Caenorhabditis elegans: one gene and its partners. The protein of the gene in region 1 purifies or fractionates together with the protein of each later gene. This does not show direct contact. Each region holds a gene or a part of one and is shown in the gene's direction. Other genes may lie near its edges.

Region 1 (11,439 bases):
AATTCTAACCACAAAAAAAACACATTTTTCGTGTTGGACATAGTTTTTTTTTCCTCCTCAACTTCAATTTCTCCCACCCACATCCACATAATTCAAATATTATAACGTTTTTTTTGAGTTTTCACCATATTTTTTTCGAAAATTATCGAATGCTTTCTCCACTCCCCTCCCCAAACTTCACCCTTACCCTAAAAATCCCGTTTTTCATATTTTTTTCCCATCAAGCTAACCTCGAAATCCTCCCCCCCACCCTATTTTTTTCCATTTTTCATCGATTTTTTTTTGTCATTTTTCCTTCTTCTTCTTCTCAACCGAAAAAAAAACCATCCCCCATCCACACACCATCCCCCCTTCTTCTTCCCCATTATTGTATCGACTTTTTGCGATAGTTTTTAATTTCATATTTATTTCTATTAACATTGATCTAATTTTATGTAAATGTTTTGTGGACAAAAAGAAATGGTTGAAACTTTATTAAAAAAACCTCGTTTTCCGTATTTTATTTATGTATGATTCGAATCATGATTCAGGAAAAAAAGCGCGCGCGAAAATCATTGATTTAAATCTGCGGGCTGGAAATTCCTCCGTAAATCGACACAAAGCGATATCGTGACGAGACCCGTCCACTCTGCGTCTCTCGCCGTCGCGTTGTCTCTCAGCCAATTTGACTTGGGTTTGAAATTATTTTTTCATAATTTTTCATTTTCTCCTGTTTTTAATCAGTTTTTTGTAGAATTTTTCATTTTTTCGGTGAAAAATCAATGAATAAACCATTTTTTAAGTAGAAAATCGCCCTTCCTCAATTTTTGCTCGAAAATTGTCATTTTTTTGCCTTTTCCAGACCATCTCACAAAAAATGGGCATTTTTAATTTTTTTGGTAAAATGTTCAATAAATAAACGATTTTCTCAAGATTTTAGGTAGAAAATCGCTCGTTTTCCTCAATTTTTGCTTGAAAATTGTCATTTTTTGCTTTTTCCAGACCATCTCACAAAAAATGGACGTCTCCCAGCTGACAGATGCCGAACTACGCGATAGCCTTAAAAGCCACGGGGTTTCTGTTGGGCCAATTGTGGCGACGACCCGCAAGCTCTACGAGAAGAAGCTTATCAAGTTATCAGACGGAAGCATTAACAGTGAGGATTTGAATTTAAATTATTTATTAATTTCTAAATAACATTTTTAAAGTTTTCGAACCTCTAATTTCCAGATCAATCAAATCTCAACGACTCTCAATTCAACGAGGATTCATTGATCATCAGCTCGTCACCGAAGAAATCACCGCCACAACGAGTTTTCCAGAACGTGTCAGCTGCAACAGCGGCAGCTACTACCTCTCCCGAATCGGACAGCGACGATTGCGAGGAGTCGATGCGATACTTGACGGAAGAGGAAATGGCCGCCGATCGGGCATCGGCTCGTCAAGCTCAGAGCAACAAAGGAGGATTCTTGGGAAGCACGGTGAGTTTTTCGCCCTTTTTCTGGCAATAAAAACTTATTTTCTATTTTCCAGATCACATTCACAATTCTCTTCGTCTTCATCGCCGTCTTCGCCTACTTCTTGATCGAGAACGCCGAGCAGTTGAAGCTCGTGGCCGAGACGAATCCGGAGGATACTATTTAAATTATTTTTTAAATTTCTATTTTTTTCTTTGACTGTTGAAATCGCTATTTTTACCCCTCTCCCTCCCCCATCACTCTTTTTCTTTAAATCCTTTCACCCCATTTTCATCACTTCATTTGGATAAACGCTATGAATCTCTCTCTCAGTTTTTACGAGCCCATCAACTCCAGAAGCTAACCAAAATGGTAGGGGGGAAAGGCGTGGTCCCCCCGGCTCCGTTGGGAAATATGACGAATCTGTAGTTTACTGATGGGGGGGGGGGTGGTATAAAAGCCCGACACCTCGACTCGGCGAAACTTATTTCAATTGCCTCCGACAAAATGCTCCGCCACCACAGCTGCGCCCTGCTCATGCTCATCCTCGTATTCGTGGAGGGTTCGTCGTTTTAATACTATTTTTAGGCCAATTTTTAGGCCAATTTTTTTTCTAAAAATTACTTCCGTTTTTTTTACAGTTTTTGCAACACAGTCGCCGACGTTTGACCGTCAGGATCGCGATTACCGGCCACTTCAGGTAGGGAACAAGACATTTTAAAAAAAGTTAAAAATATTATACACACATAAATTGCAGTTCGGCAAGCGAGATGGGTACCGTCCATTGCAGTTCGGAAAACGCGACTATCGGCCTCTCCAGTTCGGAAAGCGAAGCAGCGGCAGCTCTGGACCAGTTGTGCTCGAGCCAATCTGGGAATGGCAATAACCGACCCCGTCTAACTATTTTTCCCTGCTCCGCCATCCAAACCACCAATCGAACGATTTATTTTTTTCTAATAACCAACACAGAGACAGTCGCCAATGAATCATTTTATTGTTGAAGAATTTCTTTTCTTTTTTGCAATTAAAATCAAAACAAAAAACTTTGAATAAAGCTTTTTCTCATTTCGGTTTGATCTACGTAGATCTACAAAAATGCGGGAGTTGAGACGCAGAGTTCTTTGCAGAGTGTTTTGGCAAAAAATTCCCGCATTTTTTGTAGATCAAACCGTAATGGGACAGCCTGACAACACGTGTTTCTGTGGGTCTCGCCACGCCGGCAATTAATAACTATTTTGCTTCGTGGTGAGACCTATTGTGGAATATTCTGGGTCTCGTCGCGATGGAAGCTACTAACACAAACTTGTAATTTCGCTTTGAAAATTCTGGAAAAAACTCTGAGCCGTGACGGGACCCAGTCTAGATTATCTTTTTGCAAACCAGTGTGCGCCTTTAAGGAGTACTGTAGTTCAGGGGTGGGCGGTAAACGATTTTTTTCCGGCAAATCGGCAAATTGCCGGAATTTTAAGTTTCCGGCAAACCCGCAAGTAGCCGGAAAAACAACAATTTTCCGAAAATTTTCGGCAAATTGTGATTTTGTTTTTATTATTTTTTGGAAATTTTGGAATTTTAATTTCAAATGGCAAAATTAAACGCATCCTATGAATTTTCCTACATCTATTTTGAAAATTAAGCAAATTTTATGAAAATATCCTTTAAAAAACGGGAAAAAATTCAAAATGACACAGTTTTAAGTGTTTCCGTCTTGTAAAAATTCCTCTAAACATTTCCGGCAAATCTGATATCCGGCAAACGGCAATTTGCCAAAAATGAAAATTTCCGGCAAATCGGCAAATTGCCGATTTGTCGAATTTGTCGACAAAAATTTAGGAAAACGTCAAGAAAGAGGCATATTACCGAGATGAGAAATTCTGCTTCAAAAAATGCTGAAGCCGGTCTCGAAGCGACACATTTTCATTAAATGCGAAAATATATGTGCGCCTTTAAAGATTACTGTAATTCGAAAATTTTCGTTGCTCACTTGTTTAAAAAAAACATGGGTTTTGATATTTTAAATTTGGTTTGTCCAAAAATTTTGGTATTTATTTGAATAGATTTTTCTCGAAAATAAGAAAATGTGTGAACTACAGTAATCCTCAAAGGCGCAGACCGTACTGAACATCATCGAATCCCTTATCTATCAGATTCCCAGTACACCATGCACGCAACACGTGGCGGCGGGCAACACAGAGTATGGTCAACATGTTAGAGACGCAGACAGTCATATAAATATTATTTTGTTTGTTATAGGTGGTGGTGCCCCTATTGTCTTTTCTACAACTTCCAATTTCCTATTATATAGTTTCAGAAATTCGTTAAAAATGGTCTCAAATGAGCAGCTCGCCGAGCAATTCGTCAAATTGTATGGTATTGAGCCAGAAGTTCGTGTCACGTGTCCGGGCCGTGTTAATTTGATTGGTACGTTGTTATTGGTCTTGCCACGATCGAAACTTTCGCAGAAATATATGTTTCTCTGGAAATTTTGCTTTACTGTATAAAAAATGTATTAAAAATAATAAAAAGCATTTCGAAATATTTCCGCGGTTACGGTAGCTCAAAATTTTGAAGTTTCAATCGTGCCAGGACCCAAAAAGTGTTAAAAGTCCCGGGTTTTTTTCCTATCAGGGTTCAGGTATCAGGGACACGTTGAAATTATAGATTTTCTCCTCAAACACCTAAAATTGTATTTTATAAAATAAAAGATAATTTGAAATTTGAAATTTTGACTATTACGGGAACACAAAATTCTGAGAATGCATATTGCACAACATATTTGACGCGCAAAATATCTCGTAGCGAAAACTACAGTAAGTCTTTAAATTACTACTGTAGCGTTTGTGTCGATTTAGCGGCTCATTGGTCATTTTTAACCGATTTTCAGTACTCTATCGATAAATAAATTATTTATATTCACCTGAGCCCGTAAATCGACACAAGAGCGCTACAGTAGTCATTTAAAGAGTAGTTTTCGTTGCGAGATATTTTGCGCGTCAAATATGTTGTGCAATACGCATTCTCAGAATTTTGTGTTCATGTAATACAAAAAATTAAATCTTCTCCTCGGGGAGTACACGAGCCTACATAGATCGTCATGGTTAACTGACCACAGACTTGCAAAAATCATAGGAACTTGAAACAATTGAGAGAAAAATGACACTTTTTTATTTTGAAAAATGAAAGTTTAGTTGCAAAACTGCTGCCTTAGGTCTTGGCACGAATGAAATTTTATCAGCTACACGTGGTGCCAGGCTGTCCCATTACGGTTTGATCTACAAAAAAAAGCGGGAATTTTTTTCCCAAAAACAGGTGACGTCAGCACGTTCTTCACTATGCGAAATCAGTTGAGAACTTTGCTTCTCTTCTCCCGCATTTTTTGTAGATCAACGTAGATCAAGCAGAAATGAGAGTTTTGACACCATGTGCAGCTACCGTAACATTTCCAGGCGAGCATATCGATTACCATGACTATGGTGTCTTCCCAATGGCCATCGACGCGGCGACCACAATTCTGGCCGCAAAAAACGACACGAATTCGATAGTTTTTTCGAATTTCGACTCAAAATACGAATCATGGAGCTCACCAATTCCATGCCCATGGAAAGGATGTACTTCACCAAAATGGTTCGATTATTTGCTGTGTGGATGGAGGGGAATTATGAATAGAGAAGATGGACAAGAACAATTCGGAATGAGCTTCTTATTATACGGAACTATTCCTCCATCTTCTGGTCTTTCGTCCAGTTCTTCGTTGGTTTGTGCGTCGGCGCTGGCCACGTTGTCGTTGATTGTGGATAATGATCCTTTTGAGCATATTTCTAGGTTTGTAGAGTTTTTTTTTTTGAATTTTGACAAAATTTTTCAGAATTTTGGGACCAAAAAAAAACTCACTTTTCGAAATGGCAGAGTTTGCCAAACTAGGCCATTTTGGGTCGGAGAGATTTTGTGTAGATTTAAGGCGCGTTGCGTGTCGCGTCGCGGCACGTTTTTATTTGTAGAACTGATTTATTTGTCCGTGTGGAGTACACGACACTTTTCCACGCGTTGTCCGGCAGGCGATTGTCAATGGAGCGCGAAAAATTCAATGGCCAGAACCCCGTGTGTCTACCGTATACCTGGACGTTTGGGCGCGTTTTCCTCAAAATCGGATGATCCAGTTTTTTTGTTTTTTGTTTTTTTTGTGCACATGAAAAATGTTCGAAAAAAAATTCTAAATTTTTTGGACCAAAGCTTTTTTCCTTAAAACGCGCCCAAACCTGGCTTAACTCAAATTATCAGTAGAGCGCATTTGTATGGATGTACCACTTGCCGGGACGTGATATTACGGGAATCCAAAATTCTGAGAATGCGTATTAAGCAACATATTTGACGCGAAAAATATCTCGAAGCGAAAACTACAGTAACCCTTTAAATGACTACTAAAGGTTGATTTACGGAGCTCTCGATTTTCGAAATGTTTTAGAACTTCTTTACGAAAATCGACAGTGATTTTCAATTTTCCGTCGTTTCTTCGTATTATTTTCTCATTTTTTGCTCAATTTTAATATTCTAAATGCTTTTAAAAATCCAGCCCGTAAATCGACACGAACACTACAGTAGTCCTTCAAAGGGTTACTGTAGTTTTCGCTACGAGATATTTTGCGCGTCAAATATGTTGCGCAATGTACGCAAAGTACGCAAAAAACATAATATTTTGCATTGAAACTCGAAGTTTGAATTTTTCTTCCATGTAGATTTCGGAACGCAAAATAAATCAAAAAATTGAAAATTTTTTTCACGGGGTTCTGACATTCCTCATTGCATTTTTGCGCTCCATTGACAATCGCCCGCCGGACTGGGAAAGTCGTGTACTCCACACGGACAAATACATTTAGTTTTACAACTAAAATCGAGCCGCGACGCGGCAACGCGCCGTAAATCTACCACCAAATATGGCCGAGCTAAAATAGCCTAGTTCGGCAAAAACTCTTCCATTTCAATTTATGAGGCACGTGGTGTCAGTGCTTCATTTCGATTTGATCTACGTAGATCTACAAAAAATGCGGGAGAAGAGACGCAGAGTTCTCAACTGATTTCGCATGATTAAGAACGTGCTGACGTCACATTTTTTAGGCATAAAATTCCCGCATTTTTTGCAGATCAAACCGAACGGCCTGGCGCCATATTATAAGAATCGCGTGAAAATAATTTCAATAACATCGTGGGCCCTTTTTCCATAAAAATATTTTTTTTCCAGAAAAGACTTTGCTCATTTATGTATCGAAAGTGAGCCACTAATCGGAACACTAAGCGGTGGAATGGATCAAGCCGCCGAAGTTCTCGCATCCGAAGGAACGGCTCTTCGTATCGATTTTAATCCGCTTCGCTCAAAAAACATTCAACTTCCGAGTGATGCGGTTTTCGTCGTGGTTCATTCGAATACTGAACTGAATAAGGGTGCCACGTCACATTATAACGAAAGGGTTATTGAAGGACGGATTGTTGCACAAGTACGGCGGTCATGCAAAAAATCAATAAAAATCAGAAAAATTAAGCGAAAAATCGATAAATTTAGGATTTTTTTAGTTCAAAAATTTTTTTCGTTGCAAAAAACTTTTTTTTTCCGAATTTTCTAAAAATCGGAAACTTTTCTCAACGTCGACGTGGTCTCATTTCGTCTCATTTGTGTCTCAGTCTCATTTCGGCTTGATCTACGTTGATCTACAAGAAATGCGGCAGAGTTCTAAACTGATTTCGCATGGTTAAGAACGTGCTGACGTTTCATTTTTTGGACAAAAAATTCCCGCATTTTTTGTAGATCAAACCAGAAAGGGACAGCCTGGCACCATGTGAAGTTACAAAAAAACTACTGAAATATTATAAAACAAACCTCTTGTATCAGTCGACGGGTCTAGAAAATAAGAAATAACTACCCAAAACGCCCATGTTGAAAAACTCGGCCACCAATTTTTTTTTTGGAAAAACCGGTTTTCAAATTGTTTCTGATCTGAAAAAAAAAACAAATTTTTTCAGATTTTCAAACAAAAATTCAATATCACAAGTGGCTCATTTCGCCTCAAAGAAATTCAAACCTTAAGCGGAAAATCGTTCAAGGAAATTTTGAAAATTGTCGAGGAGCTACCGGATGAAGTCAATAAAGAGCAAGTTATTGATCTAATTGGTGCCGATAAATTGGAAGAATGTCTTACAGAGAATACAAGATCATGTAAGCACAGTGTTTTAGCAGAAAAAAATAGAGATTTTTCGCGCTCCATTGACAATCTCCTGCCGGACAACGCGTGGGAAAGTCGTGTACTCCACACGGACAATCACAATTAGTTTTACAACTAAAACCGAGCCGCGACGCGACACGCAACGCGCCGTAAATCTACCCCAGATATGGTCGATCAAAAATGGCCTAGTTCGGCAGAAACTCTTCCATTTCAATTTATGAGGGAAGCTAGAAATCCGTGTACAGAAATTTGAGAATTTTCAAAAAAAAATAGAGCGTGGCCTAGAAAAAGCGAGACATCGGCCACTGATATTTTAACAATTCTAATTTTGTTTTCAAATTTTTTGATTTCCGAAATTTTCTTTTAATCAGATTTTTTCAAAAAAAGATTTAAAAAATTCAGAAATGTTTCTTTTTCGAATTTTTTGGTTTCCAAAAAAACAAAAAAAAACCATTTTTTTGAGTTATTTGAAAAATTTAAAAAAAAAAAATTTCTTTTATTATTTGAATTCCGTAAAATTCAGAAAAAATTCATATTAAAAAAAATATTCGAACTCCGAAACTCCGAAAAAATTGTTTCGAATTTTTTAAAATGGATTTCTGGCTTCCCTCATAAATTGAAATGGAAGAGTTTTTGCCAAACTAGGCCATTTTGGCTCGGTCGTATCTGGGGTAGATTTACGGTGCGTTGCGTGTCGCGTCACGGCTCGATTTTAGTTGACGACTTTCACAGGCGTTGTCCGGCAGGCGATTGTCAATAGAGCGCGAAAAGTTAAATAAGGATGGCCAGAACCCCGTGAGAAAATTGTTAAATTTTTATATATTTTTTTAATGTTTTTTTAATCTGAAAAAAAAAGCATTTTTCGAATTTTTTTCAGAAATTAAACAAAAGAACATTAGGATGTGAAAAATCGAAACAAGACCCAAAATATAATTTTTTTTCAGTCCAAAAATTCAAACTCCGCCCCCGCGCTCGTCACGTGTTCAGTGAGGCCTATCGTGTGGAACAATTCGAATCGGCGTGCGCCCAGAAAAACATTCAAGAAATGGGACGTCTAATGAACGAGAGTCATCGCAGTTGTGCCATTGACTACGAGTGCAGTTGTCGGGAGCTTGACGAGATTTGTCGGCTCTATTTGGACCATGGAGCTCTCGGAGCACGGCTTACCGGAGCCGGTTGGGGAGGATGTGCCGTCGTGTTGATGGCCGCTGATGACGTGGATCGGGTGGTTGCCGAGTTGCCGTCGTTGTTCGTGTCGAAGCCTGCTCAAGGAATTCGGCTTCAACGATTTTAATTGTTTCTTTTTTTTGTATTTTTGTTTTTGGATTTATTAATTTTTCAACAACAAAAAAAAACAGAAAACATATTTTTGGGATAAAATTTGGAAAAAGTCAATAAAACTTTCATCGATTTTTTATTTTATTTTTCTATTCCACAAACTCTACTGGAAAACTATTTTCTAGAAATGTATTTAAAAAGGCCAAAAAATCAATTTTATCACGGGATCACATAATTCAGATAATGCGTACAGTGCATTTGTTTTTCCACTTCTACGACTTTAAAGGGGGGGGGGCGCATTTATGCGGAAGGGTCTTGCCGCGCATTTAGTCATCATTTTTAACAAAGTCTGTTCAAAATTCGCGGAGATCACGCGTAGATCACAATTAATTTGTAAAAAAGCAACAGAAATACGAAATATGAGATAATATTTTGTGATCTACATCAGGGCTGGGACCAAAAAAAAAATTTGGACCAAAAAACAAAAAACAAAAAATTGAAGTTTTTGAAAAACCAAAAAAAAACCAAAAAATCGATTAAATACCAAAAAAACCAAAAAATTCCCAGCCCTGCTCCGTATGTCGCTGCCGTTGTACCGCTTTCAGTATTCCCCTAGGAGTATGACTACCAATTATTATTACAGTGATCCTACGTGACCTCTGGCAGTGCTGTGAGCTCCATTTGAGGAGCGTTTTCTCAAAAAATTCGAATTTCCCGCCAAAAAATTAATGGGTATCGCCACGATTCTAAAGATTTCTAAAAGTTTCAAAACTTTTCTACAAATTTTAGACGTTTCCAGACTTTTCTGGAAAGTTCTAGAGGTTTCTAGACTTTTTAGAAATTCTAGAAGATTCCTTATTTTTCTAGAAAAGGGTAGAACTTCCCGGAATTTTCTAGAGAGTTCTAGAAAATTCCAGATTTTTGTAGAAAGTTCTAGAAGTTTCAAGATACGCCAAAAGACAAAAACTCATTTTTTCTTAAAGTACAGTAATCCTACAGTACTACTACAGCACCCCGACCATATCCTCCAACTCACTCCAAGTCAATGTCCCTTCAAAAGACAAAAACTCACTTTTTCTTAAACTACAATAATTCTACCGTACTCCTACAGTACCCCTACGGTAACTCTACAGAACTACTACAGTACCTCGACCATATCCCCTTACTAACTCCAAGTCAATATCCAAAACTTTGCAGACTACAAAGACGCTACGAGATATTTTGCGCGTCAAATATGTTGCTCAGTACGCATTATCAGAATTTTGTGTTCCCATAATAGAATTATATTACACGCTTACAAAAATCATTTATTAATATTCAATCCAAAATTCATTCAATAACTCGATTTAAATTCGAGTTTTACAATCTGTCTTCCACGGTAGAACATATCGGCTTGGCGACACGTCAGATGATTTCCGCCGAAAAACCTTCTCCGCGATGAAATTTCGATAGCTGGCGTTTTGAATAATCATGGCAACAGTTCCAGGAATGGGTGCCGCCACAAATAAGGAATTTATGAATGTGGAGATTGCTGGAAGTCAAAAAAAATAAATTCGGAAGTTACATGTGGTGTCAGAGTGTCTCATTTCGGCATGATCTACGTTGATCTACAAAAAATGTGGCAGAGTTCTCAACTGATTTTGCATGGTTAAGAACGTGCGGACGGCACATTGTTTTGAGCAAAAATTCCCGCACTTTTTGTAGATCAAACCAGAAAAGGACAGCCTGGCACCATGTGAAGTTACAAAAAAACTACTGAAATATTATAAAACAAACCTCTTGTATCAGTCGACGGGTCTAGAAAATAAGAAATAACTACCCAAAACGCCCATGTTGCCATGAATCTGTGAGATGAGAATCTGAAATTGTCTTACATGATAGTGGAGCCCTAATCTGAACTGTGGTGTCGATTAGAACCTTCTTTTGATGATTAAACGTGCTATTGCTCATTTTTCTCGTCTGTTTGTATAATTCGAAGAGAATTAGACAGCTTGATATAATGTAGATCTAGAATTTTCTTTTCTAATTTTTTTAAAGTTTTTTGAAGATTCCTAAGCCTAAGCATGTGCCTAAGCCTGTGCCTAAGCTTGATCCTACTCTAGGCAGCCCCTAGCCTACTCTAGGCAGCCCCTAGCCTACTCTAGGCAGCCCCTAGCCTACTCTAGGCAGCCCCTAGCCTACTCTAGGCAGACTTAGCCTACCCTAGGCAGACTTAGCCTACCCTAGGCAGACTTAGCCTACCCTAGGCAGACTTAGCCTACCCTAGGCAGACTTAGCCTACCCTAGGCAGACCTAGCCCGCCCCAGGCAGACCTAGCCCGCCCCAGGCAGACCTAGCCCGCCCTAGACGCTCGAGAGCAAGGCCCGGAACTCGAGCGCAAGCCCCGAAAAGCGCAAGCCTCGAGCTCGAGTTGGGTTAGAGGCCATTCGAACGTGCGGTTTTACCCGGCTCCCTCGCACTTAGCGAGGGTCGAAGGCATGCGGCACCCAACAACGACCGCCCAAAATTCACCGATA
Region 2 (11,697 bases), 8.8 Mb from region 1:
GATCAGTTTGCTATTTTGCTGTAATTTTTGATATTTCACACTATTTTCTATAAATAATATAACGCGAAGAATAAATACATTTTTATCAAATTTATTGTTGAAACAGTATTCTATTTTTAAGTTTCTGTCTATCAAATTTTGATTCAAAACACAAAACTTTCTTAAAATCAATCACAAATTTAAGCTGGAACCGTCGTCGCCGCCATTTTCGGAGCTACTGCCTACGGAGTCTATGCTGCTCTTGAAGGAAAGAAGAAGGACATGTAAGATAACTAGTGAATTTATCTCCAAAAATATCAAGTTTACAGCACTGAAAAGTTCGAAGATGTTGACATCAACAACGCAATGGAGCCGTTCTTGACTGCCGAGCGTGACAGATATTGGCTCAAATTGTTGGCCAAGAATCGTGCTCTGGAAGAGGAAATTATGAAGGATGTTCCAGGATGGAAGACTGGAACCTGGTACGGAGAGCCAGTGTACTTTACTCTCGGAGACAAGTGGTGGGATCCAACTGCTACTGAGGTAAAAAATTTATAACAATTCTGGAGCTTATCATATTTTTTAGGTATTCGTTCACTCAAGGGGATCAAATGAAACCCGTGATCATCTTTGGCGCCAACACTCTGAGTACGCTGGACCGAAATTCTACGATAATTGGTTCCCACAATGGATGTCCAAGTGGTTCTGGTAAATACCATTCATCTGGATGGATTGGCAAACTAATCTTCGAGTTCGTGTCCTGCTCTAGGCCCCTATCAATAAAACATCATTTTCTTTTTTTTTTTGTTTTCATTTTTAGACTGTTAGTTTTCGAAAATGAACGACAGGCCTTTGGTTTTTAAAAGTCGTGTTTGTGTATTGTTTTTCTCTTCTGGAATTTTATGAAATGAAGATGTAAATTTACGATAAAATTTCAAATGAAACGTTTCTTTTCAGAAATTTCATGTAAATAAATAGAGAAAAATGTACCGTAGTTGTTTCAAACTTAAAGGCGCAGGAACAAAAATTGAGCGGTGGGTCTCGCACCGAAAGTGTGAACTACGGTGTATCGTTCGCGCGGCCAACTCATTTTTGGTTTCACCTCAACCGTTATCGGATTTTTATTTGTTTTTCTGAACGTTCTATATTTTTCCTGTATTTTCAGCAAGATGCTTAATGTCGTAAAGTCGATAAACCGTGCGAAAACACCTGTTCGCACTTATATGAAGTGAGATAATTTATTTTCTAACGCCATTTCACTAATTTTATCAATTTTCAAAGAAAACAAGTGAGCGCAACCACCAATTTTGATGTCGTTGATCACACTTTTGACGCGGTTGTTGTGGGAGCAGGAGGAGCCGGTTTGAGAGCTGCGATGGGACTCTCCGAAGGTGGAATGAAAACTGCCGTCATTACGAAGCTTTTCCCCACAAGATCGCACACAGTCGCGGCTCAAGGAGGTGAGCCGCTCAAAGTATACGAACAGAATTTAAATTTTGATTTTTAGGTGTGAACGCCGCTTTGGGAAATATGAATCCAGATAACTGGCGCTGGCACTTCTACGACACTGTAAAAGGGTCCGATTGGCTTGGAGATCAAGACGCGATTCACTATATGACTCGAGAAGCCGAAAGAGCTATTATTGAACTTGAAAATTACGGTCAATAAGATTCTCTAACATTAAAAAACAACAATTTTCTTGCAGGAATGCCTTTCTCGCGTACAACAGACGGAAAAATTTATCAACGGGCTTTTGGAGGTCAATCTAATGATTTCGGTCGTGGAGGACAGGCTCACCGTACTTGCTGTGTGGCCGATAGAACTGGACACTCACTTCTTCATACCCTCTACGGTGCATCTCTTCAATACGACTGTAATTATTTTGTCGAGTATTTCGCTTTGGATTTGATTATGGATAAGGGAAAATGCATTGGCGTCGTTGCACTGGACATTGAAACTGGACAGATTCATCGTTTCCGCGCAAAGAACACTGTCCTCGCCACCGGAGGCTATGGAAGAGCTTACTTCTCGTGTACATCTGCTCACACTTGTACTGGTGATGGAACCGCTCTTACCGCTCGTGCAGGTATTCGTAATTCTGATATGGAGTTTGTTCAATTCCATCCAACTGGAATCTACGGAGTTGGATGTTTGATCACCGAAGGATCACGAGGAGAGGGTGGATATTTGGTCAATTCGCAAGGAGAACGATTTATGGAAAGATATGCACCGAATGCCAAGGATTTAGCGTCAAGAGATGTTGTTTCAAGAGCCATGACTATGGAAATTAATGAAGGAAGAGGAGTCGGACCAAACAAAGATCATATTTACCTTCAATTGCATCATCTTCCAGCTGAACAGCTTCAACAACGATTGCCAGGTACGTGATATTAGTGTTTTCAATTGTTAATAATTTTCTTTCAGGAATCTCGGAAACCGCTCAAATCTTTGCTGGTGTGGATGTAACCAAAGAGCCGATTCCAGTCATTCCAACTGTTCACTACAACATGGGAGGAGTTCCTACGAATTACAAGGGACAAGTTCTCGATTTCACACCTGAAGGAGGAGATAAAGTGATTCCAGGACTCTATGCCGCTGGTGAATGTGCAGCACATTCAGTTCATGGAGCAAATCGTCTCGGAGCAAATTCCCTTCTAGATTTGGTTATCTTTGGAAGATCTTGCGCTCTCACGTTAGTTTCATTTATCTGAACAGGTTTAAACTAAAGATTTCAGTATCCTTAATGAGAACAAACCAGGAGATTCAATCCCGGAGCTTCCGGTAAATTGTGAAGAGAAATCGTGTGACAATTTGAACGGACTTTTGCACTCAAAAGGAGATATTTCATCTATCGAATTAAGACAAAAGATGCAAATGACAATGCAGAAACATGCTGCTGTTTTCAGACGGGGCGATCTTTTGAAGGTAAGTAAATACAGATTTATTCTATTTTCAAAAAATATTGGATATTTTCAGGAAGGAGTCGATAAAATGTCCTCCATCTACAAAGAGCAACAAAATTTGAAGGCGTGTGCCGACTCTGGAAAAGTATGGAATTCGGAGCTTGTCGAAACTCTCGAGCTTCAGAATTTGCTTATCAACGCCAATCAAACCATCGTCGCCGCCGAAAATCGCACTGAATCTCGTGGAGCCCACGCTCGTGATGATTTCCAAGAAAGAATTGACGAATATGACTACAGCAATCCACTTGAGGGACAGCAGAAAAAACCGTTTGATCAGCACTGGCGCAAGCATTCCATCATCGGTATCGATACGAAAACTGGAGCTGTTGATTTGACATACCGCCCAGTTATCGACAAAACTCTCGATAAATCTGAAACCGACTGGGTTCCACCAAAGGTCCGATCGTATTAATTCGTTGTTTTGTTCTTCTTTGTTCACATAATTGTGTTCGAGCTGTATGTTTTTTTCTTTTGTGTGAAATTTATTTGTTTCCTGATTAGAATAAAGTTTATTGAATTTAATAATATATCAATTTAAGCTTATTTAAGATTTATTTCTGGTTTTCAATCCACAAATATTTGCAAATGTTCTTCAAAATATGAAATGTGCAAGTGCGCTCCATGGAAAATCTCTATTTTACGTCATTGTATGAAGGAGTGTTGGAACAAAATTATTCCGAATTCGTTTTGCTTTAATCTTTTTGTATTTTTATAACTGAATTTGATTTTTAATTATTACATAATTAACCATGGACGGAATGATTGCAATGCTCCCTGCTCCACTGCAGAAACTATCGTCGCATATTGATTTTCAAGGACAGAAAGTCGCCGAGAGAACTTACCAGGTAACAAACCACAATTGATTGACTGAAATTACATAAAATAAAGCAATAAAATTTAGGTAATCCTCACTATTGCTGGAATTATTGGCTTCCTCGTTGGATTCTGGACTCAACAGCTTTCATATGCCATGTTCACAGTGCTGGGAGCATCTGCGTTCACAGCTCTCATCATTCTTCCACCATGGCCATTCCTCTTCAGAAAGAACCCGATTGTGGTGAGAAAAAGTTACAGAAATCGTATAAAATGTTTTAATTTTCAGTGGCACACACCTGCGGAACCACAAGAATCTGGAGACAAGAAAAAGGAGACAAAGAAGACGAAATAAATCGGCAATGATGCAAAAACTAAAGAAAAACGTTTTACTCGGGATCTGGTCAAATATTTATTTTAAATTAAATTATTTATGAGCTCTTCTTCATTTTTCTGTGTGATATAAGAATCATCTTCTGAACCATAATAAATTCATTTTCAATCTACAACGATTTTAATATTTTATTGACGTTTTAATGCGACACATTTTACTTTTTTATTCTGAAGTCTTGAATCCTCCTATCCTACTCCCCGTTCAACAGAAATGTACCGCGCTGGAGCGGTTTTACTCCGCGGGGCAACTCGCACGCGGCTTCTTGCCGCTGCTTCAGCACATCAAAGCTTTGCCACATTTTCTCAAAGAAATCAATCGATTTTAATGATGAAATCTATGGAATTAGCAGGAAATTCAGGAGAAAGGAGGTTTTATTCCACTCATGACGATCCAATCGCTGTGGATGACTCATTGGAACTGTACAAAGATTTGGTAAGTTTTTTAGAATTTCAGTCATTAAAAGACGATTTTAATTGATTTTCAGGGAGGAATGTCACCGATTCAAGTGCCAGCCGATATGCCAAATGTCCCAATGTTAGCTATCAATCGATATCCACTATTTCCAGGATTTATCAAGAAAGTTGATGTGAGATTAGATAACGTATTTGGCGGAAAACTGAAAATTAAAATTTCAGATCGTGAAAGATGACAATTTAAAAGCACTGATCAGGCGACAGCTTTCACTGAAACAGCCGTATGCTGGAGTTTTTGTGAAGAGAGACGATGAGTATGTAGTTTTTGAATGGATCTCTTCTTGACTTAAAAATGGAACAATCGCCGAAAAACTAGTCATGTGTTGATATACGGAGCTCGTGTACTCCCCGAGGAAATGCTTTTACAGTTTTTGCCTGATATTTTTGATTTGGAACCATTTTTGTTATTGGAATCATCAAATAACAGAAAAAAATCAATCTTCTATATACCGACTATAACTTCTAAAAAATTTATACACTTTTTCAAAATTGTTTTGTATTTTTTTCAATTTTGCAACAAAAAATGGATTAAAATTGCTGAATTATTTTTGAATTCCCGCGCAAATTAGTATATTTTTTTCCAGAAACAAAGAAGAAACGATCACATCTCTATCAGAAGTCTACCCAACTGGTTCTTTCGTTCAAATTATCGAAGTCCGTGATCAGGGAAGTGTTCTTGAGCTGGTACTCAGTGCTCATCGAAGAATTCGTGCTCTTGAACCAATTGACGAAATTACACCGAAAAATGAGACTCCATTGAATGGAAGACGTGCTCGTGGAAAGCGTGCAGCATCAGCAACATCACCACTCACTCCACCACCATCACCACCTCCACTTGCACCTTCAGTGGCTTCAGTGGCTCCAGAAATTTCAGCAACAGAAGAGAAAGAAGAGAAGACAACACCACCATCAGCAACTGGAGAAAAACAGAAAAAAGGAATTATTATGGTTCGAACCGAGAATGTTGTTGCAGAGCCAGTGCCCAAGAATAATGAAACGAAGGCTACGATGATGGCCATTGTGCAGACGATTCGGTAATATCAAGTTGCGATTATTTAGCCATTTGTACCTCAATATTACGATACCCGGTCTCGACACGACAAACTTATTGTAATCTAAAAAGGATATATCCCTTTGAAGAGTACTGTAACTTCAAATATTCGTTGCTCGGAAATTTTCATCGATTATCATAAATTCTCGTTGAAAATTATATACATAAGATTAAAAAAAAATCGCAAAGTTCGAAAATAAAATCTGTGTCATTACATTTATAAAAAACTTGTGTGTATTGTGTGAAAAGCTATGAGAAATCGACGAAAATTCCGAAAAAAACAATAGTTTGAAATTAAAGTAATCTTTAAAGGCGCACACTTTTTTGAATAACAGGAGAAATGCGACCGGGTACAATAAAATGTATATTAATCATTTTGAATCGAAAATACGGAAATAATCTGCAAAATGTTATGTATTTTACAATGGCCAAAAGTAAAATCGAAAAAAAAAACGAAAAAGATTGTAGTAAAATTATTGAAAAAAGGATAAAACTATAAATTCAACAAAAACTGTGTATATTTCGAGAAAAAAATATAGAAAATTTGCATTTTTTCCCCTGCAAATTGAAAAAAACCTTGATTCCGAAAGTTATTTTTTGATTTTATGAGTTTCCAATTTCCTAAATTCAAATATTATTTCAGAGATGTAGTACAATTCAATCAACTCTTCGGTCAACAAATCAATCTTCTACTTCATCCATCTCAAAATGTAATCGATAATCCAGTTTATCTATGTGATCTTGTTGCAACTCTTGTACAATCTGCAGAAACAAAAGATCTTCAGGAAATGATGGATGAAATTGATGTAAATTTAAATTTAAATTTTTTTAAATGAAAATAATTATATTATTTTTTTAGGTTTCAAAGCGACTCAAAATTGCTCTTCTTCTGATTCAAAAGGAGAAAGCAGTTGCCAAATTGAAGTATGATATCAATAAAGATGTTGAGAAGAAGGTTCAGGATCATCATAGGAAATACTTGCTCAATGAGCAATTGAAAGTAATCAAAAAGGAGTTGGGAATTGAAAAGGATGAGAAGACGACTATTATTGAGAAAATTGATGAAAGAATCAAAACATTGGCAGTTCCAGAATATGCATTGAAAGTTATTAACGAAGAAAAGACAAAGTTGCAGTTTTTGGATCCGCATTCCAGTGAATTTAGTGTCACGAGGTAGATATTGAAAATTATATTAGTTTTATAGAAAAATATATATATGCATTTAAAAGGCTAAAAATGCTCGGAAAAGTAAACTTTTTTCCAATTTTCCAATCGAATTTTTTTTCGAATTCTTTTTCCAAAAATCAAAATTTCTCCAAAAGCTTCCGGATTGTTTATGAAGTGTTCAGAAACCAGCTCCTGGATGTCGTGAAAAATTGAAATGTTTTTTTTTATCGAAAAGTTGACAATTCGACATTTCAATTTAAAAAAATTTCAATTTTCCGGAATATAAAAAAAAATAATAGTTCAGAAATTTTAAACTTTTTTATTAAAACCCCAAAAAATTGTTTAAAATTAAACGAAAACTCCAACTTTCTAAATTTCTATTATTCACTTTTGGTTAATCTATTTATTTTAATTTTCTTCAAAATGAGAACTACAGGATCGACGACCAGGAACTCCGCCCACTCCTTTTGATTGGTTCGCCGATTGGTCTTACAGTTCTCGTTTTGAAAGAAATTCAAAACTGAAAAATATCATTTTTAAGTGCATTTTTTCCTGAATGTCAGACTATTTTAAATGTTTTAAAGCAAAAAAAAAATTGAGTTCCGTTTTTTTTCAGAAACTACCTGGAATGGTTGACATCAGTACCCTGGGGACTTACATCACCCGAGAATCGTCGTCTTTCAGTTGCAAAGAAAGCTCTTGATGAAGGACATTATGGAATGAAAGATGTTAAAGAACGAATTATGGAGTTTATTGCAGTCAATTTACTTCGAAAATCAATTGGTGGAAAGATTCTATGCTTCCATGGACCACCTGGAGTTGGAAAAACTTCTATTGCGAAATCAATTGCGACTGCCTTGAATCGAGAGGTTCAGTTTTTTTTCCTAAACTTTCTCTTGTTAAAATTAAATCTAACATTTGCAGTATTTCCGTTTCTCAGTTGGTGGAATGACTGATGTGGCAGAAATCAAGGGACATCGTCGTACATATGTCGGTGCAATGCCTGGAAAAATGATTCAATGCATGAAGAAAGTGAAAACTGAGAATCCTCTTGTTCTTATCGATGAAGTCGACAAAATCGGCGGAGCTGGATTCCATGGAGATCCCGCATCGGCACTTTTGGAACTTCTTGATCCAGAACAAAATGCGAATTTTAATGATCATTTCTTGGATGTTCCAGTTGATTTGTCTAGGTTTGAAGATGCTTCTCCTCTTGGTTCTATAATTTTATTTCTAATTTTCAGAGTTTTGTTCATTTGCACGGCAAACGAGATTTCAAAAATCCCGGGACCACTTCGTGATCGAATGGAAATGATTGATGTTAGCGGTTATTTAGCCGAGGAAAAAGTTGAAATTGCTCATCAACATCTCATTCCTCAACTCAGAAAAGACACATCTCTCGCCACAGAACAACTGAAAATTGAAGATTCTGCGTTGGAAGAGCTCATTAAGCATTACTGTCGTGAATCTGGAGTCAGAAATTTACAGCAACATATTGAAAGAGTATGTTTTGGTAAAAACAGGACGATCCGCGAGACCCGAAGAACTCGGGGGATGTCCAATTGGGGGGATTACCAACTCGGGGGATTGGCCCCGCCCACATAACCGTGGCTTGCAATACGCCCATTTCTGCAACTGCCGCACGGTTTTAAAACTGTATTTTTCTCAATAGAGCGAGAATTAACAAGAAAAAATAATTTTTAAACCGTGCGGCAGTTGCAGAAATGGGCGTATTGCAAGCCACGGTTCTGTGGGCGGGGCCAATCCCCCGAGTTGGTAATCCCCCAATTGGACATCCCCCGAGTTCTTCGGGTCTCAGATCCGCGCCTCGAGTTGATTGTTCTGTTTCGACAATTATATTTAGATTGCTTATAGAAATTACCTTTTTTTTCCAGATTTTCCGTAAAGCAGCTCTTCAAATTGCTGAACAACAAAACGAGGATGAGGAGCCAGCCGAAAAAGCAACAACTGCTATCACTGAAAACTCAGAAGCCGAACCAATCACCTCTACATCATCTGCAGATTGTTTAAAATCTTCAGCCGAACAAATTGTAGTTTGCACAGAAAACTTGCAAAAGTTCGTTGGAAGACCCAAATTCACATCAGATCGAATGTATGAAGTAACACCGCCTGGAGTAAGCGAAAAAACTGTTTTAAAAACTTAATTCACGTTCCGTTCAGGTGATAATGGGTCTCGCATGGACAGCAATGGGTGGATCTGCACTTTATATTGAAACTGTATTGAAACGACCTGTTGATTTGACAAATGATAAGGATGGAAGTATTGAAACAACTGGAAATTTAGGAGATGTAATGAAAGAAAGTGTTCGAACAGCGTTGACTGTTGCAAAAGGAATTCTTGCAAGAGAGCAACCCGATAACAAATTCTTCGATAAAGCACATATTCATATTCATGTACCCGAAGTGAGCTTAATCTTGAAATAATTTCAACTAACCAATTCCATTTTTCTAGGGAGCAACACCAAAAGACGGACCATCTGCAGGAGTAACTCTTGTCTCAAGTCTTCTTTCACTCGCTTTAGACCGACCTGTTGTGCAGGACATGGCGATGACTGGTGAAATTTCATTAACCGGAAAAGTGCTGCCAGTTGGTGGAATTCGGGAAAAAGTGATCGCGGTGGGTCCTCTGTTCTTTTTTCGTTCAAAAATTTCATTTTTTTTCAGGCTCGCCGTGTCGGAGCAAAACGAGTCTTCCTTCCAAATGAGAATCGTCGAGACTTTGATGATTTACCAGAATTCATGAAATCAGAGTTGGATATTCGATTCGTTTCGCATTATGATGAGCTCTACGAGCATCTCTTCCAATAATACGTGTCCCTTTCTTTCACCCCCAGTTAATACCTTTCAGATAGATTTTGTTGATTCACCTAATCCATTTTTTCTTGTTTTGTTATTTTAAAAACGTTTTGAAAAGAAAAAAGTTCAGGCTATAAACATTTTCCTACTTTTATTTTTGTTTTTTTTTTAATTTTAATAATCTCAAGTTGTTTGATCTTTTCAAATATTTTTCATTTAAATTCTAAATAATATTCTCTTTATTTAAAAACCATTATTTTCAGCTTTAGAAATGGCAATTATCGAAGAAATTTTCGAGGATGAAGAGGATCAGATAACAAAAGTGGATTCATTGAAAAAAGAAGGAAATAATTTCTTTGCGAATGGAGAATTCGAAAAGGCGAATGAAAAATATCAGGTATTGGAATGTTTTGCAAACGTGCGGCGCGGTTTGAAGCTTGTCGATTTACGCAGGATTTTGTACTACACGTGGACAAGTATTAATTCAATTTTCATATAATTTTATAGTAAAGAAAACAATAATTTGAAAAACAAAAATTTTGATTTTTAAAAATATCGAAAAATTACAAACAAGAATTTTAGCTGAAAACTACACAATCATCTCAAAAAAAATCCCCACTTGTCCGAGTGTAGTACAAAATTCTTCGTAAATCTACATGCATACAACGCGCCGCAGACTTGCAAAATTAACGGCTTGATCGGTCTATTTCGACAGTATACAATTGAAATTTTTCCAGGAAGCCATTGCCTCGTGCCCTCCAACATCCACAGAAGTACAATCGATTCTTCTTTCAAATTCAGCAGCTGCACTTATCAAGTTAAGAAAATGGGAATCTGCTGTGGAAGCTGCGTCGAAATCAATTGAGGTACTGAAGAGAGCATGAAATATTACACAGACGCGAAATTTTCCCAATTTCGACCACAAAATACGGCCTTGTCACTAAAATTTGGCGTTAAAATGAATAAAAGTTTGCAGCTTTAAGTATTTCTGAAATTTCCAACAAAAATTTCGATTTTCATTTTTCCTGAAAATCAAAAAGAAAAGGGTTTTGAAAATTGACAAAAAAATCCTTTTCTTTATCAAATTTTGTTTACTTTTACGAAAAAAACATCAGGAAACACATAATTATCTTCTACAAGAGGAAAAATTGGCAAAATTTTAAGATATTTTTCAAAAAATTAAAAAAAAATCGAAATGTCGGAAAACTAATTTCTCATAAATCGAAAACCCGGCTCCTATAGTTGGAAACTACAGTAATCCTCAAAAGGCGTCCTTTTGCATTTAACAAACGGTTTTCGTGTTGAGACCCTTAGATAGCAAAATTTTGCGACTTACTATTAGCTAGTTAGCTTGAAACAAATAAAATCAATTTTCAGATTGGAGCAACCAACGAGAAAGCACTGGAACGACGGGCGTTTGCATACTCGAATATGTCAGAAAAGTATGAGAATTCTATTGAAGATTATAAACAGTTACAGGTATCGATTTTGGTAGATTTCTTTTTGAAATTAGAAGTAAACTTTTTCCAGGAATCTCTTCCAAAACGCCGCGTCGAACTTGATCGGAAAATCGCTGAAATCAATGAGAAAATTAATAATCGAAATGAGGCGATGAAAGCCGATGTGATGGAAAAACTGAAGGGTTTCGGAAATTTCTGTCTATCGCCGTTTGGGCTCTCGACAGACAGTTTTGAGATGGTCCCGAATGGAAATGGAGGATTTTCGGTTCAAATGAAAGGTGCTACGAATAAACAAGAAGGTGCAAGTCAGGAAAAGAAAGAAGAGGAAAATGCATAATTGGCCGACATTCTTTGAATTTTCTGTACATTTTCTATCTGCATTCCGGTTAATAGTCTTCTTGCTTTCAATTTCGTGATTTTAAAGATTAAAATGAACATTTCTATTTGTATTCGTGAAATTTTAATCGCTCACACTAAAATGTTCTCTGGTCTCGAAAAGATCGAAACTTTAAGGCTACCGTATCAGGGATGGAGGGGATCTACAAAAGGGTCATTCCTAAATATATGATAACTCATCTTT
Region 3 (6,884 bases), on another chromosome or scaffold:
AAAGATTTCGGTAAGCGAAAACTCGTGAAAACCCAGGAGCTATTCCATACTCCACTTCATTTCTCGGCAGAAGTCTGCGGAATGAACGATCTGAAACTGAGCGACTTTTCAGGAAATAATATATAAATAAACTCACAATGCATTCCCGGCCCATTGGCACTAAATCCAGACTTGACATCATATTCATCAAACGTCAGTTTCAATACCATATCTCCACTATATGATCCATTGCTAAGTGTTCCATTAATTTTCCATGTGCAATCCATGTTTGGCGGATACAAACTACCGTAGTTGGGTGATTCAATGACACCAGAAAATGAGAAATCATTTGAATCGTTATCGATTTCTGCTCCACATTCCCTATCTGGTGTGGTGAATTTGTATTTTAAAACAAATCCACGGATCGTTTCAAGACCCGCATCACTTTGTAGCATATTACTGATGAATGCAACTGTGAGGAATGGTCCAGTAGTTCTAACGACTTGGGATTCAAGAGTAGATGAACATGTTTCAAGAATACGATGTTTATCATATGTAGCATAACCATCGTATATTTCCAAAGAGTTTTGATCGCATTTTTCAATGTCTTTTGAATGCATTGAAACTGGAGGAATAGTGACTTCGATTATTTTCCCACCGGGAGCCGAAATAAACCATTCACAGACAATGTCTTGGTGGTTTTGTGGGACGGAGATTATTCCTTCTGGTTTTGAGCTACGGTACCCGCATTCTGCAAATAATATACTTCCAATTGAATTATATAAAAATTCCACTAACTTCTTTCAACGGTTTCCCATTTGATAGTAAAAGAACCTTGGGTTCCTCTAAATCTCAGCATTGCTCCTGTTGAAGTCATTGTGATTGGAGTGTCACTCAGCGGTGCGTGAACACTGTGTGAATCTCCACAGAATGTTGCAAACTCAGAAGAACTGTCTTCTGGTCCATCGTATAATGTCAAATTCGCATCAGTTTTGGCACAATCTGTAGGTCCTGATCCTTCTTGCGTAAATTTATCAAATTCTGTGAAAGTCATTACAACTGCAGAGTTTGCAGCAGGAATATTGAAGACGAAATCACATATGGACAGTTCCGTTTTATTCGATCGTTGTAGGTCGAATGTATAATTTCCGCTCGAATGAGTGAAGTGAGAGCCACAGTCTACAAAATGAGTTTTGTTTTTGAGGTTTCAGTCTCTGCTGATGTCTACTTGACAGTGACTGCGCAGTCCCAGAACAACCTTCGGTGGCTAACTGTTACTCTTATTTGTAAGGAGCAGAGAAACCAGTCAAGTTTTGAGCAGGCAGTGGCGGTATCGGTAAGACTTTGGTACAGGCTTTGGATCTAACTTCTGATACTGTAGAATCTTGACTGAAGAGCGTGGCATGGTGAGTCCACTTTTTTAACAACTCTGCCTGTGAAACCTACCAGCAGTTAGATCCAAAATATGTTCAAAAGTCTATACTAAGTTTGCCCAAGGCTAAAGCTGGGCCGCTCCTTGTACAGAAAACAAGCAATAAAAATTTTATTAATGAATTTTCTTACGTTCTTCCTCTTCTTCGCATGCCCTACCAAAGAAGTGCTCTGGACAGTCGCAATAAGCAGAATTTTCAACGGCAATACAAGTTCCTCCATTTTTGCAAGGATTCGTTTGGCACGGTGATGTTTTCTCACAGAACTTTCCAAGAAAACCAGCTTCACATTCACATTTATATTCGGTGTCGCTTGTTGGCTGAAAACTATTTTTTGAGTAACAGTGCTTACTTGTCTTCATTTGTGTTACCTTGCATTTCCCAGCATTAACACAATTGTGGTTCTGGCAAACGTTACTTGCTGACTTAACACATCCTTCCTCTCCAATTCCGTCACCAACATATCCATCTGGACAGTAGCAAGTGTAGTCTCCAACAGCACTGTATCCGTCGTCAGTTACCTTGCATGTTGCTAATTTATGGCATTTGTTTTTGACACAACTATCATCTTTCACACAATTTCCTCCATCGCCGGAGTATCCAGTCGGACACGAATCACAATAATAACTGCCAAGAGTGTTATGACATTTTGAAAGCGGAGAGCATACACGAATTTCACCTTCACATTCGTTGACATCAATACAAACATTTCCATCGGCTGAATTTATTTTACTTTTTGGATTTCAATGACAGATATTCAGTACATTTTTCGACACCTTCAAACTAACAAATTCTGATTTTTCACATTGTTAAGCCGAAGTTTATAAGACTTTCTCTCCTCATTCTCGGAACTGAGAAATCCAAACAAGTATTTTCACAAAAAAAGCTTGAAATTTGTAAGTGTTATACAGGGTAGGCACTTGTTCAGGCGTACGTGTCTACCTCATGCCTACCACACACCTATTGACCTATTTAAATGCCTACTTACCTATTTTATGAAAACGTTTTGGATACGAGTATATATTTTCTAGACAAGAATTAAACCAAAAAAATTATTTTATTTTTGATTTGATTGAACATATATAATTCTAACTTACTTTTATATCCTTTTGGACATCCGGAACACACAAACGATCCAGGCAAATTAATACAATCAACTCCTGGATGACATGGATTTGATTCGCATTCATTGACATCAACACACGTTGGATTGTTCTTATCACTTGAAACCTTGAAACCCCAATCACAAATACACTTGTACGTAGTTGTATCGGAAGATGACTGACCAGTTGGATCCACAATACTCTCAATACAATGCCCATGTGGACCACACAATTCAAAAGTTTTCGAGCAAGCGGACATATGATACTGACAAAGAGATCCATGATATCCGGATTGGCACTGACATTCAAATCCGCCACGGTTATTGATACATGTTCCATTGTTCTGACATCCAGCAGTTGTACCATTGTATACTGAGCATTCATCGATGTCAGCTTCACAAGTTGTACCGGTGAAATGTGGAGGACAAAGACAAGTGAATTTGGCGCCAAAAGATGGGATACATGTGCCTCCATTACTACATTTGTTCGGATCGCACGCGTTTATTGCTATCAATTTGTTGATTCCTCTTGAAAGTTAACAATTTATAAAAAATAGTCAAACCTAACTTGTTGTGTCTTACATGATTTGACGTGTCATTTTCACCAATAATCCCCGTCTCCTCATGTCTCTGGCCATTTTATCAGTTTTCCACTTCTTCAAGATATTCACTTCGAGTGTCATATTTCGAAGCTAAAAATTGATTTCAAAAAGAGAAAAAAATGTATGGAATTACCGCTACTAGATAATGTTTTGCAGAATTTAAAACCACTCTCATTGCAGAAGTCTGCGTGTCCTGGCGACTTTTCAAAGTGGTGAACATTTGAGAAGTGTTCTCAATACGTCCAACAAGTTGCTTGAAAGATGCCTGAAAATTATTTTGAATATTGAAAATTGTAATTCGAGTTAATTTTCAAAAACTTCCATAGTTCAAACATTTTCAAACAATTATTCATTTTGAAAAGTTTTATAAAAATAATAGAACTTAATTATCAAAATTTACGTGACCGTTTCTCAGGAAAGTGATTCTTTTTAAATAGTTGTCAAAAAGTAAATTTTTGCGTGATCTCCGACTATCTAATTCCAACTCTTACTCGTAATCCACGTTTCGTTCCTTTTTCTAATCTGACCGTCTATGTTTTAATCAGTTCTTGAAACATGGGCAAGAAGAAGTCTGATACGGCATCCGGTGGAGCTATTCCAGAAGGAGACAATGAGAAAGGAAAGAAGGTTAGTTAAATTTTTCATTATAGTGTTCCCAGAAAACCTATTGATTTTCAGATCTTCAAACAACGTTGCGAGCAATGTCACGTTGTCAACTCATTGCAAACAAAGACTGGACCAACATTGAACGGAGTGATTGGAAGACAATCCGGACAAGTTGCTGGATTTGACTACTCGGCTGCCAACAAGAATAAAGGAGTTGTATGGGACAGACAAACACTTTTCGACTATTTGGCTGATCCGAAAAAGTACATCCCCGGAACTAAGGTAGGATTTTCTAGGAAGTGCGATGGAGTATTAATAAGAAATTTTCAGATGGTCTTCGCTGGTTTGAAGAAAGCTGACGAACGAGCTGATCTCATCAAATTTATTGAAGTGGAAGCTGCCAAGAAACCATCGGCATAAGCCTCTACTAAATAAGAAATCTGTGTGTTAAGCAAAGCAACGTATCAAAAATAAATGTTTTGTAGAAGCTCGTTCATTTTTTTTTTGGATAATTTCAGCAGTCTACCTACAATATCTGGAAGTTTGGAAACATCTGTTTCGTCCACATATATTCTTCCATTTCCAGTCGTTTTGAACGTTATATTTTTATCCTTTCCGGCATGCAACCACACATTTCCATCAACCATTAGAATACGTGATCTGAAATGTTTTCGGACGTAATTTTGAAAAAAAATTAAAGGATTCGTTACCTTGTTTCATATGAATCTTCGATGTGTATTTCTTCATAGTCAATTGAAGATACATGATTTAATAAGCCGAATAGTATTAATGAAAGAAATAACTGTAAGTTAGGTATCATTTGTTGCGAAAATGAAATGAAATTAATGGAGTTGCACGGTGGAGGGTGAATAATTTGTTTATGTCATTGATACCTGATTGGAAATTGAGACGATCCATTTGTTTATAACAGATTATGTAAGAGAACACCTGCCAATGTTTAGGTTATGAGTAACTAGTGGGCCGTTGAATTTGTGTTCGGTTTTAATGAAAAAACTGTTAAGCTGGCTGAAACTCAGGTATCAAAATATGATGGTGTTGAATACTCTCCAAATAATCGCTCTAAAAAAGTGTCAGGCTGTACAGATATAACAAATGTATCTTATTAATAGTTCAAAAATAATATTTCGTGCAAACTGATTGGTCTGGCATGTGGTAAACAAATAAGCCAGCAGTTGAGATGTAGGCAGGCACGAGGTAGGCACGAAGACAATTCCACTGCTTTAATTGGAAATATTTTCAGGTATTAATCTGCTTTTTCAAAAATATTTTCTTACACAACATTTCGCATAAATTTCGAATCATTTATTGTTTTTTTTTTCAATTATTTTCGTTCGCATAAAGGCAGTGTGAGGAATGAAATCATAATATGAAACAACGATGGGCTGGGCAAGTTCCGTAATACTCTTCTATTTTCTTCCATAAGCATAATAATAGTATGGAGATGTATAATAGTAGTAAGGTGGCTGAGCAGCCACAGCTCCAGTCTGTTGAGTTCCTTGCTGATGATTTTGAGTATTTCCAGATTGATCATATTGAGGCGTGTATTGCTGTTGTTGTTGTGGTTGTTGCTGCATTTGGGATGATTGATCATATTGAACCTGTTGGGTATTTCCTGATTGATCATACTGTACTGGTTGCTGTTGAACTCCTTGTTGGTATTGAAGAGTTTGTTGTTGCTGACCCTGTTGCGTTTGTTGTGGATAATACTGTTGTTGTTGTTGTTGGGTTCCTTGAGCATACTGTTGGTTTTGTTGTGGTTGCTGTTGAGCATAAGCTTGTTGGGAAGCTCCACCAGCCTGAGTTTGCTGAGCAACTCCAGTGGTACCAGCAACTGCAGCGGTTGGATAATAGTAATAGTATGGTGTGTAATAACTTGTTGGATAATACAAGTATTGGGCAGAAGCCACAGCAAGAAGTGAGCAAAGAGCAAGGAGGCTGAAAATTTACGAATGAATGATGCACATCCTACCTAATGATAACATAAATCGTTTGCTAGAAAACTTACGTGTTCATTTCGTTCGATTGAAGTGAGCAGAAATGGTGAAGATTTTTCGTTTGATCATTTTTATACCTTATTTCAATGGGTGTGTCTAACCCAATACTGTCATCATCAGTTGCATTCCGAAAAAAACTGCGAAAAAACTCCACGATTGTATGTTTTTCTTTTATTCCATCCATGCCAACCACAAAGTTACTGAGTAAACTCGAGGTCAAGAGAAAAGAGCCCAATCAAAAGAAATAGTGAGAAAGCAAAGAGAGCAAGACTCTGAGTTTGTTGACTTTCAAAAGGACTTCATTGAGAATGGCAGTTGGCGGCAAGCTAAAACGGTTCAATTTGATAATGGTGATAATGATCAAGGCTCAAGATTGATACCTTAGATTGATATTTAATTAAAAGTGCAAGATGCTAAATGGCTATAGTAATAACATTATCAAATTACAAATCTGTAAAACTGACTCATCTGAATCTAAACAATGGGTCAAATTTCTAGTAAGCTCGAAGTTAATAATTACTAAATAATTTTTAACAGAAAACTTTGAGCTTTGAGCACGAAAAATTCGACGACTTTTCATGTAAATAAACGGCTGGAAAATCATTTTCAACTGGTCTAACGTTGTTATGCCAAAAATGATCATTTTCACGGTTTGAACCAAAATTATAAAGAGTTTAGTGACTTTTATGTGATAAACTTCTACAGGGATCTAGCAAACATTATTTTAGTCAATCTCTGAACCTTGGATACCTTCTAAGTCATATGAATCAATAATAACTGTGATCAATTTATGGTCAACCCATGTTTCCAATCTTATTAGTAATATACAATTCCACAAGAAACCACGATAAAGACCACGGGTAAACACTACATTTTTTGTTTGTAAGTCATTTTGTGTTTCTGAAAAATAGCAAACAAAGCAAGGATGTACATGCGTATTTCGGGAGTCCCAAGAACATGTTGTTGACAAGAAAATGACAGAAAAAGTGAAAAGATAGAAATTTGCAGATTTTCAGTATTTCGCGCTTCTTTGATCTACTACTTTGTGTGAAGATGGAATGTGAGGAGAGAGGTGTAGAACAAACTATTTTTAGTTTTTTGGTGATTTGTAGGAGCCACTGATGGAATTTGGGAGTGTGGCGAGTAAGTA

The links.
Region 2: the proteins of tag-96 (region 1) and lonp-1 fractionate together in Caenorhabditis elegans (co-fractionation; one large-scale study listed by BioGRID). This does not show direct contact.
Region 3: the proteins of tag-96 (region 1) and cyc-2.2 fractionate together in Caenorhabditis elegans (co-fractionation; one large-scale study listed by BioGRID). This does not show direct contact.

The regions. Positions count from the first base shown.
Region 1 is NC_003279.8:1,841,464-1,852,902, forward strand, and holds tag-96 (Galactokinase), read left to right. Parts: upstream 1-3,736; 5' UTR 3,737-3,757; coding exon 3,758-3,854; intron 3,855-4,879; coding exon 4,880-5,255; intron 5,256-6,669; coding exon 6,670-6,922; intron 6,923-7,445; coding exon 7,446-7,638; intron 7,639-8,589; coding exon 8,590-8,939; 3' UTR 8,940-9,060; downstream 9,061-11,439. Other genes in the region: emr-1 (Emerin homolog 1), read left to right, coding at 997-1,135, 1,210-1,460, 1,513-1,623; nlp-12 (Neuropeptide-Like Protein), read left to right, coding at 1,944-1,998, 2,078-2,136, 2,194-2,322; M01D7.9 (7TM_GPCR_Srx domain-containing protein), read right to left, coding at 10,270-10,454, 10,700-10,763.
Region 2 is NC_003279.8:10,675,035-10,686,731, reverse strand, and holds lonp-1 (Lon protease homolog, mitochondrial), read left to right. Parts: upstream 1-4,357; 5' UTR 4,358-4,359; coding exon 4,360-4,581; intron 4,582-4,633; coding exon 4,634-4,735; intron 4,736-4,784; coding exon 4,785-4,876; intron 4,877-5,206; coding exon 5,207-5,656; intron 5,657-6,316; coding exon 6,317-6,479; intron 6,480-6,532; coding exon 6,533-6,846; intron 6,847-7,456; coding exon 7,457-7,709; intron 7,710-7,764; coding exon 7,765-8,033; intron 8,034-8,084; coding exon 8,085-8,343; intron 8,344-8,735; coding exon 8,736-8,975; intron 8,976-9,021; coding exon 9,022-9,264; intron 9,265-9,313; coding exon 9,314-9,478; intron 9,479-9,525; coding exon 9,526-9,669; 3' UTR 9,670-9,810; downstream 9,811-11,697. Other genes in the region: ndua-13 (NADH dehydrogenase [ubiquinone] 1 alpha subcomplex subunit 13), read left to right, coding at 185-263, 309-522, 566-691; sdha-2 (Succinate dehydrogenase [ubiquinone] flavoprotein subunit, mitochondrial), read left to right, coding at 1,149-1,207, 1,261-1,439, 1,487-1,639, 1,685-2,359, 2,404-2,671, 2,715-2,904, 2,956-3,354; spcs-1 (Signal peptidase complex subunit 1), read left to right, coding at 3,692-3,787, 3,844-3,999, 4,045-4,110; ttc-1 (TPR_REGION domain-containing protein), read left to right, coding at 9,929-10,054, 10,395-10,523, 11,035-11,136, 11,188-11,454. UniProt on the Caenorhabditis elegans protein: ATP-dependent serine protease that mediates the selective degradation of misfolded, unassembled or oxidatively damaged polypeptides as well as certain short-lived regulatory proteins in the mitochondrial matrix.
Region 3 is NC_003283.11:12,609,002-12,615,885, reverse strand, and holds cyc-2.2 (putative cytochrome c 2.2), read left to right. Parts: upstream 1-3,667; 5' UTR 3,668-3,668; coding exon 3,669-3,740; intron 3,741-3,791; coding exon 3,792-4,001; intron 4,002-4,049; coding exon 4,050-4,139; 3' UTR 4,140-4,204; downstream 4,205-6,884. Other genes in the region: cubn-1 (Cubilin homolog), read right to left, coding at 1-90, 137-730, 778-1,158, 1,543-1,729, 1,781-2,127, 2,507-3,039, 3,094-3,203, 3,247-3,378 and 2 more; ZC116.1 (Prion-like-(Q/N-rich)-domain-bearing protein), read right to left, coding at 5,147-5,675, 5,746-5,918. UniProt on the Caenorhabditis elegans protein: Electron carrier protein. The oxidized form of the cytochrome c heme group can accept an electron from the heme group of the cytochrome c1 subunit of cytochrome reductase.